Linked DNA regions of Saccharomyces cerevisiae S288C. Each later gene encodes a partner of the first gene's protein in a complex. Each region holds a gene or a part of one and is shown on either strand. Other genes may lie near its edges. A codon is read from its position in the direction of its gene.

Region 1 (7,425 bases):
TCATTCATTGATGGCATAACCTGACATTCGTGGCAAACTGTACCCACAATGGCGGTTTTTTTGGGAATCGTCTTCACATATGGTATATATCTATCTCTACCATCCCTATCTGTCATAACTCTGTGATTAAACTTTTTTCTATTATTTCTACGTTTTTGCTGCTGCTGCTTCTTCTTAAGTTCCTCTTCACGTTCTTGCTTCTTCAGGTAAGCTTGCCTTTGCTTTTCAGGATCTGCTTCCAACTCCTTTTTACGTTGTTGATATTTCTTTAAATTTTGTTCTGTGAAAACATATTCATTTTCTACTACTTTCTTTGTAAGTTCTAAATCATATTCGTGCGGTATAGAATCGTTATCATTTTCATTCAATAGAAGTGTGATTTTACTCCCATCCTTGTTTATCCTAATTTTACCCAGTTCTTGGCCATGCAAGTTGTTTCTGTCCCTCCATTTCTCTGCTAGAAACATGGGCAATCTAACTAACCAGACTTGTCTATTACTACGTTCCAAGTCCAAATCTAAGGATTCTTCATAAACTTTGGTTTCATTATTCTCAATATCATTACCGTCAAAAACTTCCTCCTCTTGCGAAAGATACTCATCACCGGAAATGTTACCTGATTTCTCCTTCGCGACAGAGTTCGTGGAATTATTAGAAAGTGCTGGTGCCCCTGCTGAACCACTGCTCATGGTGTTAAGTTGGTCTTCTATTTTACTCTTAATATTGCGTTATGCGTTGAAGCCAACAGCATATGTCTTATTCTTCTAATTTCAAGCCTGATAATTTATTCATTTCGCGCAAGGGAAGATGAAAAAGTTAAGAAGAGAATCGACCTTTGGAAAGGGCCCCAATGGAAAGAACTTCAATGTTTTTTCCTCTACAAGTAATAAGAGCATAAAATGGACCTAGATCTAGCCAGTATCTTAAAAGGTGAAATTTCTAAGAAGAAGAAAGAGCTGGCCAACTCTAAAGGTGTTCAGCCACCATGCACTGAGAAATTCCAGCCACATGAATCCGCAAACATAGACGAAACACCGCGACAGGTAGAACAAGAAAGTACAGATGAAGAAAACCTGTCAGACAATCAGAGTGACGATATTAGGACCACCATTAGCAAATTAGAAAATCGGCCAGAAAGGATACAAGAAGCGATAGCTCAAGACAAAACCATCTCTGTAATCATTGATCCATCACAAATTGGTTCTACTGAAGGAAAACCTCTTTTGTCAATGAAATGTAATTTATATATTCACGAAATATTATCTCGTTGGAAGGCGTCTTTGGAAGCTTATCATCCGGAGCTGTTCTTAGACACTAAAAAAGCACTCTTTCCACTCCTACTGCAACTACGAAGGAACCAGCTTGCCCCGGATTTACTTATTTCCCTTGCGACCGTTCTCTATCATTTACAACAACCTAAAGAAATAAATTTAGCCGTTCAGTCCTATATGAAACTCAGTATCGGCAATGTGGCCTGGCCTATTGGTGTTACTAGCGTAGGCATTCATGCTCGTAGTGCACATTCGAAAATTCAAGGAGGCCGGAATGCTGCTAACATAATGATTGATGAAAGAACGCGATTATGGATTACCAGTATTAAAAGATTAATAACTTTTGAAGAATGGTATACCAGCAACCACGATAGCTTAGCCTAATTGTTGAACTATTGTTTTCGTTATCGCGTGGCACGATATCATGCGGCCAAAATAAGAAGCAAGAATGCAGATGTTGATAGCCTTTGTTCAATTTTCCAGAGACAAATGCTTTACAGGATCGGGACTTGAAATATACTGACTGGATGACGGTAAACTTAGATCCGGATAAAGTTTGGATAGACGGCTGCTTTGATTTCACACATCATGGGCATGCGGGAGCCATTTTGCAGGCTCGTCGAACAGTTTCAAAAGAAAATGGTAAACTATTCTGTGGTGTGCATACCGATGAAGATATTCAGCATAACAAAGGAACACCAGTAATGAACTCTTCAGAAAGATATGAGCATACTAGATCAAATAGGTGGTGTTCGGAAGTGGTTGAAGCGGCGCCATATGTTACAGATCCCAATTGGATGGATAAATATCAGTGCCAATATGTTGTTCATGGTGATGATATCACCATAGATGCTAATGGAGAAGACTGCTATAAGTTGGTGAAAGAGATGGGGCGCTTCAAGGTAGTTAAAAGAACATATGGCGTAAGTACTACCGAGATTATACATAGAATATTGACGAAAAAATCTTTGCCACCGACTCATCCTGATTATTATCCCACCACCCAGGAATTGAGTTTCTATTCTGTCGCCCAAGATGCCGTTTCAAAACATTGTTATGTCTTTCAGAGGGATTTGGACAATGTCTTGGTCAATGGTGGATACAAATTCGATGCAGAAGATTGTGTTTATGTTGACGGGGATTTTGACTTATTCCATATGGGGGATATTGATCAGTTAAGAAAGCTGAAAATGGATCTTCACCCCGATAAGAAATTGATTGTTGGTATTACCACAAGCGATTACTCGAGTACCATTATGACGATGAAGGAACGCGTCTTGAGCGTTTTAAGTTGTAAATATGTTGATGCCGTTATTATCGATGCTGACGCCACCTCAATGTCTCAGTATAACTGCGAGAAGTATCATATTGGCACGGCTGTCCTCACTGCTGCCGGAAAATTCAGTGAATACTTGACTAAAGAGCTTATTGTGAAGAGGGTGGAATCGCAAAGGGAGGTTTACATTGCGAGGAACCAAAAAAAGGGAATGTCCATATAAACAAATGTTGAAAACTTCTTCGAACGTAAATTAAATGGATGTAAGAAAACTGTATTACATAAGTCATGAAGTAGGCATGCAAGTATATACCTATAGATGCATATAAATCAGTGGAGAAGGCCACTATCCTTCAGAGATCAAAAAACCTTTTTTTATCTTGAAAACGCCCTCATTCCTTTTGGACGTTTTCAAACTTTTGTTCATGCGATTGCAAATTTGAGCCTCTTCTATCTTTCTTGAACACTGGGGGTATTTCACCATTATCAATTAAGTCATCAATCTCATCGCCTGGCTTACCCCAATTACCCTTGCCGGAACCTTGCTTCTTGATGTGATTTGGAGATTCACCGTAGTTACCAGTGTGCGAAAAGTACTTTGGATCAGCCTTTCCTTCACGTTCGGTCCACTTGTTTGTTCTCGTCATTTTTTCTGATTGGTTGTACACTTGAGCGGTTTGTTACTGTTGATTGTTCGTTTATTTGTATAATTGAGTTTACACAACAATTGTTACAATAGTATGGGTAATTAGGGCCAAGAGAGTGACAAAAAGCAAACTTATAAATAGTCCTTTTATACAAATGACAAGTGTTCGCTTCTGCGCTCGCAGCCCCCTGTTTTCGAAGGAGTTTCTTAGCCTAAGCTAGGCAGGCGCGCCCCCATTATCTATCCCTTCATTGCTTACTGAGAGGTTTTCCTCCCCCCCTCCGCGTATATTTCCTCCGCTGGAGAAAATTAGTTGTGGGACGGATAGCATCACTTAATTCTGTACCTTTTTGAAACTGGCTTGGTACTTTCTGTTGGATAGCAACATTTCCCGCTGGGATACTTCAACATGGGCTATGAATTTTCTTTTGTCTTTTATCTTTTATCTTTTATCTTTTATCTTTAAATTATTTGAGCTCGGTTAAGTTCATAACTATTGCGTGCCCGAATGGTATTCTTTCAATTCACAACCAAACATTAAAATGAAGAAAGCATACTCTTATATTATATCAATGTCTTTTTCTTTACTTATTTGTCTTTGCTCATAAATTTCTACATAATGGTAGTAATGGTGATGAAATGTTGTTACTTGTGATATATTACATAGTTTTTACAGGCATATTCTATCTGATACCTGCCAACCTGTTGGTATTCATATGGAGATTGATATCTAGATCATCAGTGCTTTCCTCAATGTTGTTGAGACGTTTTTGCTGAGAGTCTAATTCTTTACCAGTGGTCAAGGCCATTTTCTTCAATCTGTTGCTAACCTGCTGAATCTGGTCCAAATTCCTATCAATTTCCAATTCCATTTCGTCATCTTCTTCATCATTCTCAAACTGATATCTCTTTGCCTTTTCTAGAACATTCTTCCTCTGATATCTTTCCCGCACCTCACTTATGTTATTATTTGCGTTCATAGCACCCTCTATTCTTTGAGTGGACTGAGACAATTGTTGACTTGTTTGCTCTCTCATTAATTTTTCTTCAATTTTCCTATTCTTCAGCTGCTCTTCCCTCTCCCTTCTCCTTCTCTTGGAATTAAACGGATTAGAAACATGGACAGCCAATATACTACGGTTCAATTTTTTTAGTTCTGCAACTTTTTCATCTGCAACTTTATTTTGCACCTTCATTAAATCTAAGTTTCCTTCTACGTTATTCAATTGTTCACTTTGATGACCCAGCATACCCAATGTGTTCATACCTGCTCTTTCGGCGTCTTGAGCCATTTTTAGTGTATTTCTAGTAGAGGCTACGGAACTCTGTTTCGTAAATTTGATCTCCTGCTTGATTTCATCTACTGCTTCATCTTCTTCCTGCTGCTGGCGAGCCTCCTCTTCTTTTTGTATTTCTTCAAATGTTTTGTAACCCCTTTGATCTCCATATTGGTTATTTGTTGCGTTAAAGTGTTGCTGTTGCTGTTGCTGCTCATCCATGAACCACTGTTGCTGCTGCTGCTGTCTTGAACTATGATCAACTTCGGACGCATTTAAATCTATTGAATCTTCATTCGTCATTACTGCATTCAAATCAGGCTCATCTAATGCCGCTCTATTTTCTGCAGACTTGTCAGCATAAACTTCTTCAAAATCAAATTCACCTGTTCTAGGTTCTTCATTTAAATCAACTTCACTATTGCGTGCTGCTTCATCAGAAGCAATAAAAGAGGGCGTATAAGTCATTGGAGCTTGTTGCGATTGCGGTTGACGCACACTTCTACTAGAATATGGATTTGCAGACCTGTTCAAATTTCCATTACTATATGAGTCGTTCGCCATAGAGGCGTATGGATTTGCATTCTTGGAGCTTCCTTGTCGAGTACCGCTAGATCTATTAGTATTGGAGTCATACGCCCCGCCATAACTATTCATATCAGCGTAAGGATTTCTCTTTTCTTGCATCGGGTTTGCTAAGGGACTTCTTTGGTCAAGCGATAAGCTGTTGGTCGACGTTGAAACCGGCGGTTGCCTTGTTTGCCTCGAAGGCCCTACGTTTAAAGTGCTGTTTGAATGATTTAAACTATTACGGCCATTCGCATTCACCCAGCTGTTTGAAGTATTTTGGTTACTATACGGGCCATCGTTATTATATGAATTCAGAGATGTGCCATTGTACCCCCCTCCATAATCACCATAAGGCGCAGCATTGACGCTACCTCTCCCATTACTTTTATTAGCTTGAAACCTTGCATAAGGATCGTCATCATATCGGTAATCATCATTTTCGATAGCGTACGGATCTTGCATAGAATTGGATTCTGCTCCATTTCCGAGATCTTGCGTGCCACTTGAACCTCTATTAGAACCAGCAGTTGCCTCGTTAGCATTGGCATCTAAGGGAGAAGCATTCAAATCCTCAAGTTCATCCTGTGGCCTAGCATACTGCTCATAACCTGGTGGCGCGTATACCTTATCTTCAGCTTTATCATTTGCAAATTTACCGTAGGCGGCAAATTTCTCTTTTCTTTTCTTGCTAGGGTTTTTGACACTAATACCCAGTTCCATCAAAGTATCCTTGTTCTGTTCTGGTGTCGCTTCCTCTGGAGGCTTAATCTTAAAAAATTTCTTTAATCCCATTCTTTTGGTGTCAATGGTGTATTATTCCGAGTTACTCCAGGCTAGGTTCAGGAGTACCAAGAATGTACTTTATTTATTTATACACCGGAGCAAGTCATATAATTACGCAAACGATTCGAAATTGTTAAAAGCAGGATCAACGTATCTCATTTCTTTTTGAAAGACGGGTAATAGAAAGTCTCTGAGTCGCACCCCACATGGATATCGTACTATTCGTATATGGAATGTAAAATACTCGCAATACGATTTTATTTAGCTTCACAATCTCTCAAACTTATCGTCTTGATCAATCTTTACGTTTTACCAAATAATCGCCTGTTTCTGGCCATTTTTTGCTTATACCATCTACCATACTCGCTGTCCATATGTGACGGTGTCGTCTCCAAGAAAAATAACAATGTAAATTGACCCAGCGTGACGACAGTAGACTGTAAGTTATAGTACAATCATACTCTACCTTAGTCACTGTTCCTCCACTGTTAAGTAGAGAGAGAGAGAGAGTTTAAAGTGGAGAAGGCAAGAAAAAGTGCACTTATTACGTAATGGATCCCACCAAAGCACCCGATTTTAAACCGCCACAGCCAAATGAAGAACTACAACCACCGCCAGATCCAACACATACGATACCAAAATCTGGACCCATAGTTCCATATGTTTTAGCTGATTATAATTCTTCGATCGATGCTCCTTTCAATCTCGACATTTACAAAACCCTGTCGTCAAGGAAAAAAAACGCCAACTCAAGCAACCGAATGGACCATATTCCATTAAATACTAGTGACTTCCAGCCACTATCTCGGGATGTATCATCGGAGGAGGAAAGTGAAGGGCAATCGAATGGAATTGACGCTACTCTACAGGATGTTACGATGACTGGGAATTTGGGGGTACTGAAGAGCCAAATTGCTGATTTGGAAGAAGTTCCTCACACAATTGTAAGACAAGCCAGAACTATTGAAGATTACGAATTTCCTGTACACAGATTGACGAAAAAGTTACAAGATCCTGAAAAACTGCCTCTGATCATCGTTGCTTGTGGATCATTTTCTCCCATAACATACCTACATTTGAGAATGTTTGAAATGGCTTTAGATGATATCAATGAGCAAACGCGTTTTGAAGTGGTTGGTGGTTATTTTTCTCCAGTAAGTGATAACTATCAAAAGCGAGGGTTAGCCCCAGCTTATCATCGTGTCCGCATGTGCGAATTAGCATGCGAGCGGACATCATCTTGGTTAATGGTTGATGCCTGGGAATCTTTACAATCAAGTTATACAAGGACAGCAAAAGTCTTGGACCATTTCAATCATGAAATAAATATCAAGAGAGGTGGAATCATGACTGTAGATGGTGAAAAAATGGGCGTAAAAATCATGTTATTGGCAGGCGGTGATCTTATCGAATCCATGGGCGAGCCTCATGTGTGGGCTGATTCAGACCTGCACCATATTTTGGGTAATTATGGATGTTTGATCGTGGAAAGGACTGGTTCTGATGTTAGGTCCTTCTTGCTTTCCCATGATATCATGTATGAACACAGAAGAAATATCCTTATTATCAAACAACTTATTTACAATGATATTTCCTCTACGA
Region 2 (2,629 bases), on another chromosome or scaffold:
AAGATGTGGGTGAGGGGGATGGAGAAGAAGAGGCTGGCAGCTTTGTTATTGACGGCTTCTTCTTTAGCTTACTTTTCGCGTTTTTAACCTCTAAATACAGAGCCTTATCTCTTTCTAGCTTTTCTTTCAAATTCTCCCGCAAGTCATTGGTTTCATCGAAGGTTTTATAATTTTTCTCAATATATTTCCAGCAATCCATCCAATTGGATAATAATCCCATAATGGACCTCAATTTCGGTATAATCTTGCAGATATGATTATTAAACAATTCCACAACTAAACCAGGTTGAAGGTGGAAAATGGGAGTTCTTGAGGAATTGTTATCGGTACGCGCCGTTTGAGTCCAAAATTTTAAATTCTCCTGCAGTTCGAATAAAGCTGTGACATCATCACATTCTGGAGAGAGCAAAGCCATCAGCTCACAAATTATCAAATCGTAATGGTACACGTTTTCGCTGGATAATCTTGTCTTGATGTCCAAGAAATGTTGTTTATTCGGTAGGAAAATTTGCCTAGAGAAACTGATAATAACACACAAGACAGAAAAAACCCGCAAGTGGAAAGTGTATATCCTGTGTAGAGTCCATTCCCAATGTGGTAGATCCTTCTGTAAATTTGACAGTGAAGTAGGTCTTGTTTCCGAAAATTTCTGCAATTGGTTGTAATATGTCCTTAGAATGGGGAAGATTTTCGAATGAACACAGGAGTTCAGTTTCTCCATCACTTGCCATTGCAATTTGTAAAAGGAATGGGTGGACTTATCCCTTACTGGATCATTAATCAAAACGGCTAAATCTAGAATCAATGTCATTTCAACTGGATTTAACAAGTCTTCAATTATTGAAGTGTCAAATGGAAGTGACCGAGCTTTGTACGCATCCCTTTCCAATAAAATCTGTCTCAACTTGGCATTATAAATTTTTATAGCATTTTGAGCAATGCAAGACAGCGAATTTAAAATCTTCCATTGTAGAGAATTATTGTATATGCACGATTTATAGTGATCTAGGGGTACCTCCTCGGGAAACATCCAGCCCTCTACATCAATAAAATTAGTTGATAATCTCTGCTGCACTTCGCTTAGCTTTATCAGCTGGAATCGACAGAGCAAATGGTACCTCTTAGCCAATACGGGGCTTACATTAAATATAGGACCCTCACAAAGTGATAAGATGAAATTAACGAGGGGAATAATTTTGTAGGACTCGTCATTGTCTCTTTTCTTCTTCAAATGCGGTACCAGAACGTTTAGTAGCCTATTCAGTTCATTCAGCTTGTAAAGAGCGTTCTTATATTGAATGATTTTTATATCATACGAGTCCAACGGAACAGAACCTTTGATTGCCGGAATAGAAGCGCTGGCAGCAGCTTTGGCTAGCAACTTTTTTCTCTTTTGCACATCTACCATGTTGTAATATAAAACTAGTCTAAATCCTCAACCTTCAGCTTCCAATCACTCCTTTTATCATTGTTCATTCGCTAACAAACTTCAAACATATGCCTTTATTATGCGTCTTCCTGCTGTTTCAACCATTGATTGCAGGGTAACAGACATTTTTAAGGGTCTTTCCCACAGCATCTATAAGAAAGATCGTCAAAAGTATTAGTTAAACATTGAAAATTTGCGCCAAAGACATAGCAAGCGCAACGTATTCATTGTCCATGTCGTCATCTACTCCCTTTGACCCTTATGCTCTATCCGAGCACGATGAAGAACGACCCCAGAATGTACAGTCTAAGTCAAGGACTGCGGAACTACAAGCTGTAAGTACAGAAAGCCACAGAGTACCATCTAGGAAATTAACATTATACTAACTTTCTACATCGTTGATACTTATGCGTATACATTCATATACGTTCTTCGTGTTTATTTTTAGGAAATTGATGATACCGTGGGAATAATGAGAGATAACATAAATAAAGTAGCAGAAAGAGGTGAAAGATTAACGTCCATTGAAGATAAAGCCGATAACCTAGCGGTCTCAGCCCAAGGCTTTAAGAGGGGTGCCAATAGGGTCAGAAAAGCCATGTGGTACAAGGATCTAAAAATGAAGATGTGTCTGGCTTTAGTAATCATCATATTGCTTGTTGTAATCATCGTCCCCATTGCTGTTCACTTTAGTCGATAGAAGTTCACTCGCAATGCTATATATATAGGGAGCTTCCATATGTAGTGTAGGATATATGTATATATACATATATACATATATGGGCGTATATTTACTTTGTTCTTATTTTCTGTCTAATTTTATAATTTTACTGACAGTAGCTAAGCCCTCTGTATTGCTGTTCTGTGTTATTGCACTAGTGTCATAACGCAGATGGTTTTTAGCAGAGTCAAATTGGGCAGAAAGCATAATTTCCATCTTCCCTGGCAAAGACAGATTTTCTCTTTTGATCACGTTAGCTAAATAATTCAAGATTTCGTTCGGTACTCCAGCTTCGCCCTTGTTAGCAGGCTTGTATTTCAACAGAATTGCTTGTATTTGGGCTGGATTCAAGGCATACCAGAAATCGAATAGTAACTTGAACTCGTTCAAGTTGCTTATCTTCAACTGTAATATCTTGACAGCCTGAATTATTTGAATCAAATTGGGACGAACGTCTTCAATTCTTGGTTCAAACCAGC

Evidence for each region. The genes of interacting proteins can lie anywhere in the genome.
Region 2: the proteins of SEC9 (region 1) and SNC1 are in contact, whole or in part, in a cryo-EM structure (PDB 9CRU), measured with the Saccharomyces cerevisiae proteins. Residues at the interface, in NP_011523.3 of Saccharomyces cerevisiae: Leu465 (codon at 4,440), Gln468 (codon at 4,431), Leu472 (codon at 4,419), Leu479 (codon at 4,398), Met482 (codon at 4,389), Ala489 (codon at 4,368), Leu496 (codon at 4,347), Asp595 (codon at 4,050), Leu598 (codon at 4,041), Asp599 (codon at 4,038), Ile601 (codon at 4,032), Gln602 (codon at 4,029), Ser605 (codon at 4,020), Asn606 (codon at 4,017), Leu608 (codon at 4,011), Lys609 (codon at 4,008), Ala612 (codon at 3,999), Leu613 (codon at 3,996), Thr615 (codon at 3,990), Gly616 (codon at 3,987), Leu619 (codon at 3,978), Asp620 (codon at 3,975), Gln622 (codon at 3,969), Gln623 (codon at 3,966), Leu626 (codon at 3,957), Asn627 (codon at 3,954), Ile629 (codon at 3,948), Glu630 (codon at 3,945), Thr633 (codon at 3,936), Asp634 (codon at 3,933); in NP_009372.1 of Saccharomyces cerevisiae: Arg28 (codon at 1,744), Thr29 (codon at 1,747), Glu31 (codon at 1,753), Leu32 (codon at 1,756), Glu35 (codon at 1,878), Ile36 (codon at 1,881), Asp38 (codon at 1,887), Thr39 (codon at 1,890), Ile42 (codon at 1,899), Met43 (codon at 1,902), Asn46 (codon at 1,911), Lys49 (codon at 1,920), Val50 (codon at 1,923), Glu52 (codon at 1,929), Arg53 (codon at 1,932), Arg56 (codon at 1,941), Leu57 (codon at 1,944), Ser59 (codon at 1,950), Ile60 (codon at 1,953), Lys63 (codon at 1,962), Ala64 (codon at 1,965), Asn66 (codon at 1,971), Leu67 (codon at 1,974), Ser70 (codon at 1,983), Ala71 (codon at 1,986), Gly73 (codon at 1,992), Phe74 (codon at 1,995), Gly77 (codon at 2,004), Ala78 (codon at 2,007), Val81 (codon at 2,016).

The regions. Positions count from the first base shown.
Region 1 is NC_001139.9:505,171-512,595, forward strand, and holds SEC9 (Sec9p), read right to left. Parts: upstream 5,833-7,425; coding exon 3,877-5,832; downstream 1-3,876. Other genes in the region: transcription factor IIF subunit TFG2, read right to left, coding at 1-689; mRNA splicing protein PRP18, read left to right, coding at 900-1,655; ECT1 (ethanolamine-phosphate cytidylyltransferase), read left to right, coding at 1,799-2,770; STF2 (ATPase-stabilizing factor family protein), read right to left, coding at 2,940-3,194; nicotinamide-nucleotide adenylyltransferase NMA2, read left to right, coding at 6,375-7,425. UniProt on the Saccharomyces cerevisiae protein: Component of a SNARE complex that may be the effector of SEC4 function in exocytosis.
Region 2 is NC_001133.9:85,624-88,252, forward strand, and holds SNC1 (SNAP receptor SNC1), read left to right. Parts: upstream 1-1,662; coding exon 1,663-1,764; intron 1,765-1,877; coding exon 1,878-2,129; downstream 2,130-2,629. Other genes in the region: protein phosphatase regulator GIP4, read right to left, coding at 1-1,408; MYO4 (myosin 4), read right to left, coding at 2,232-2,629. UniProt on the Saccharomyces cerevisiae protein: SNC1 and SNC2 are vesicle-targeting proteins essential for normal secretory traffic between the Golgi and the plasma membrane. They may also be involved in vesicle fusion.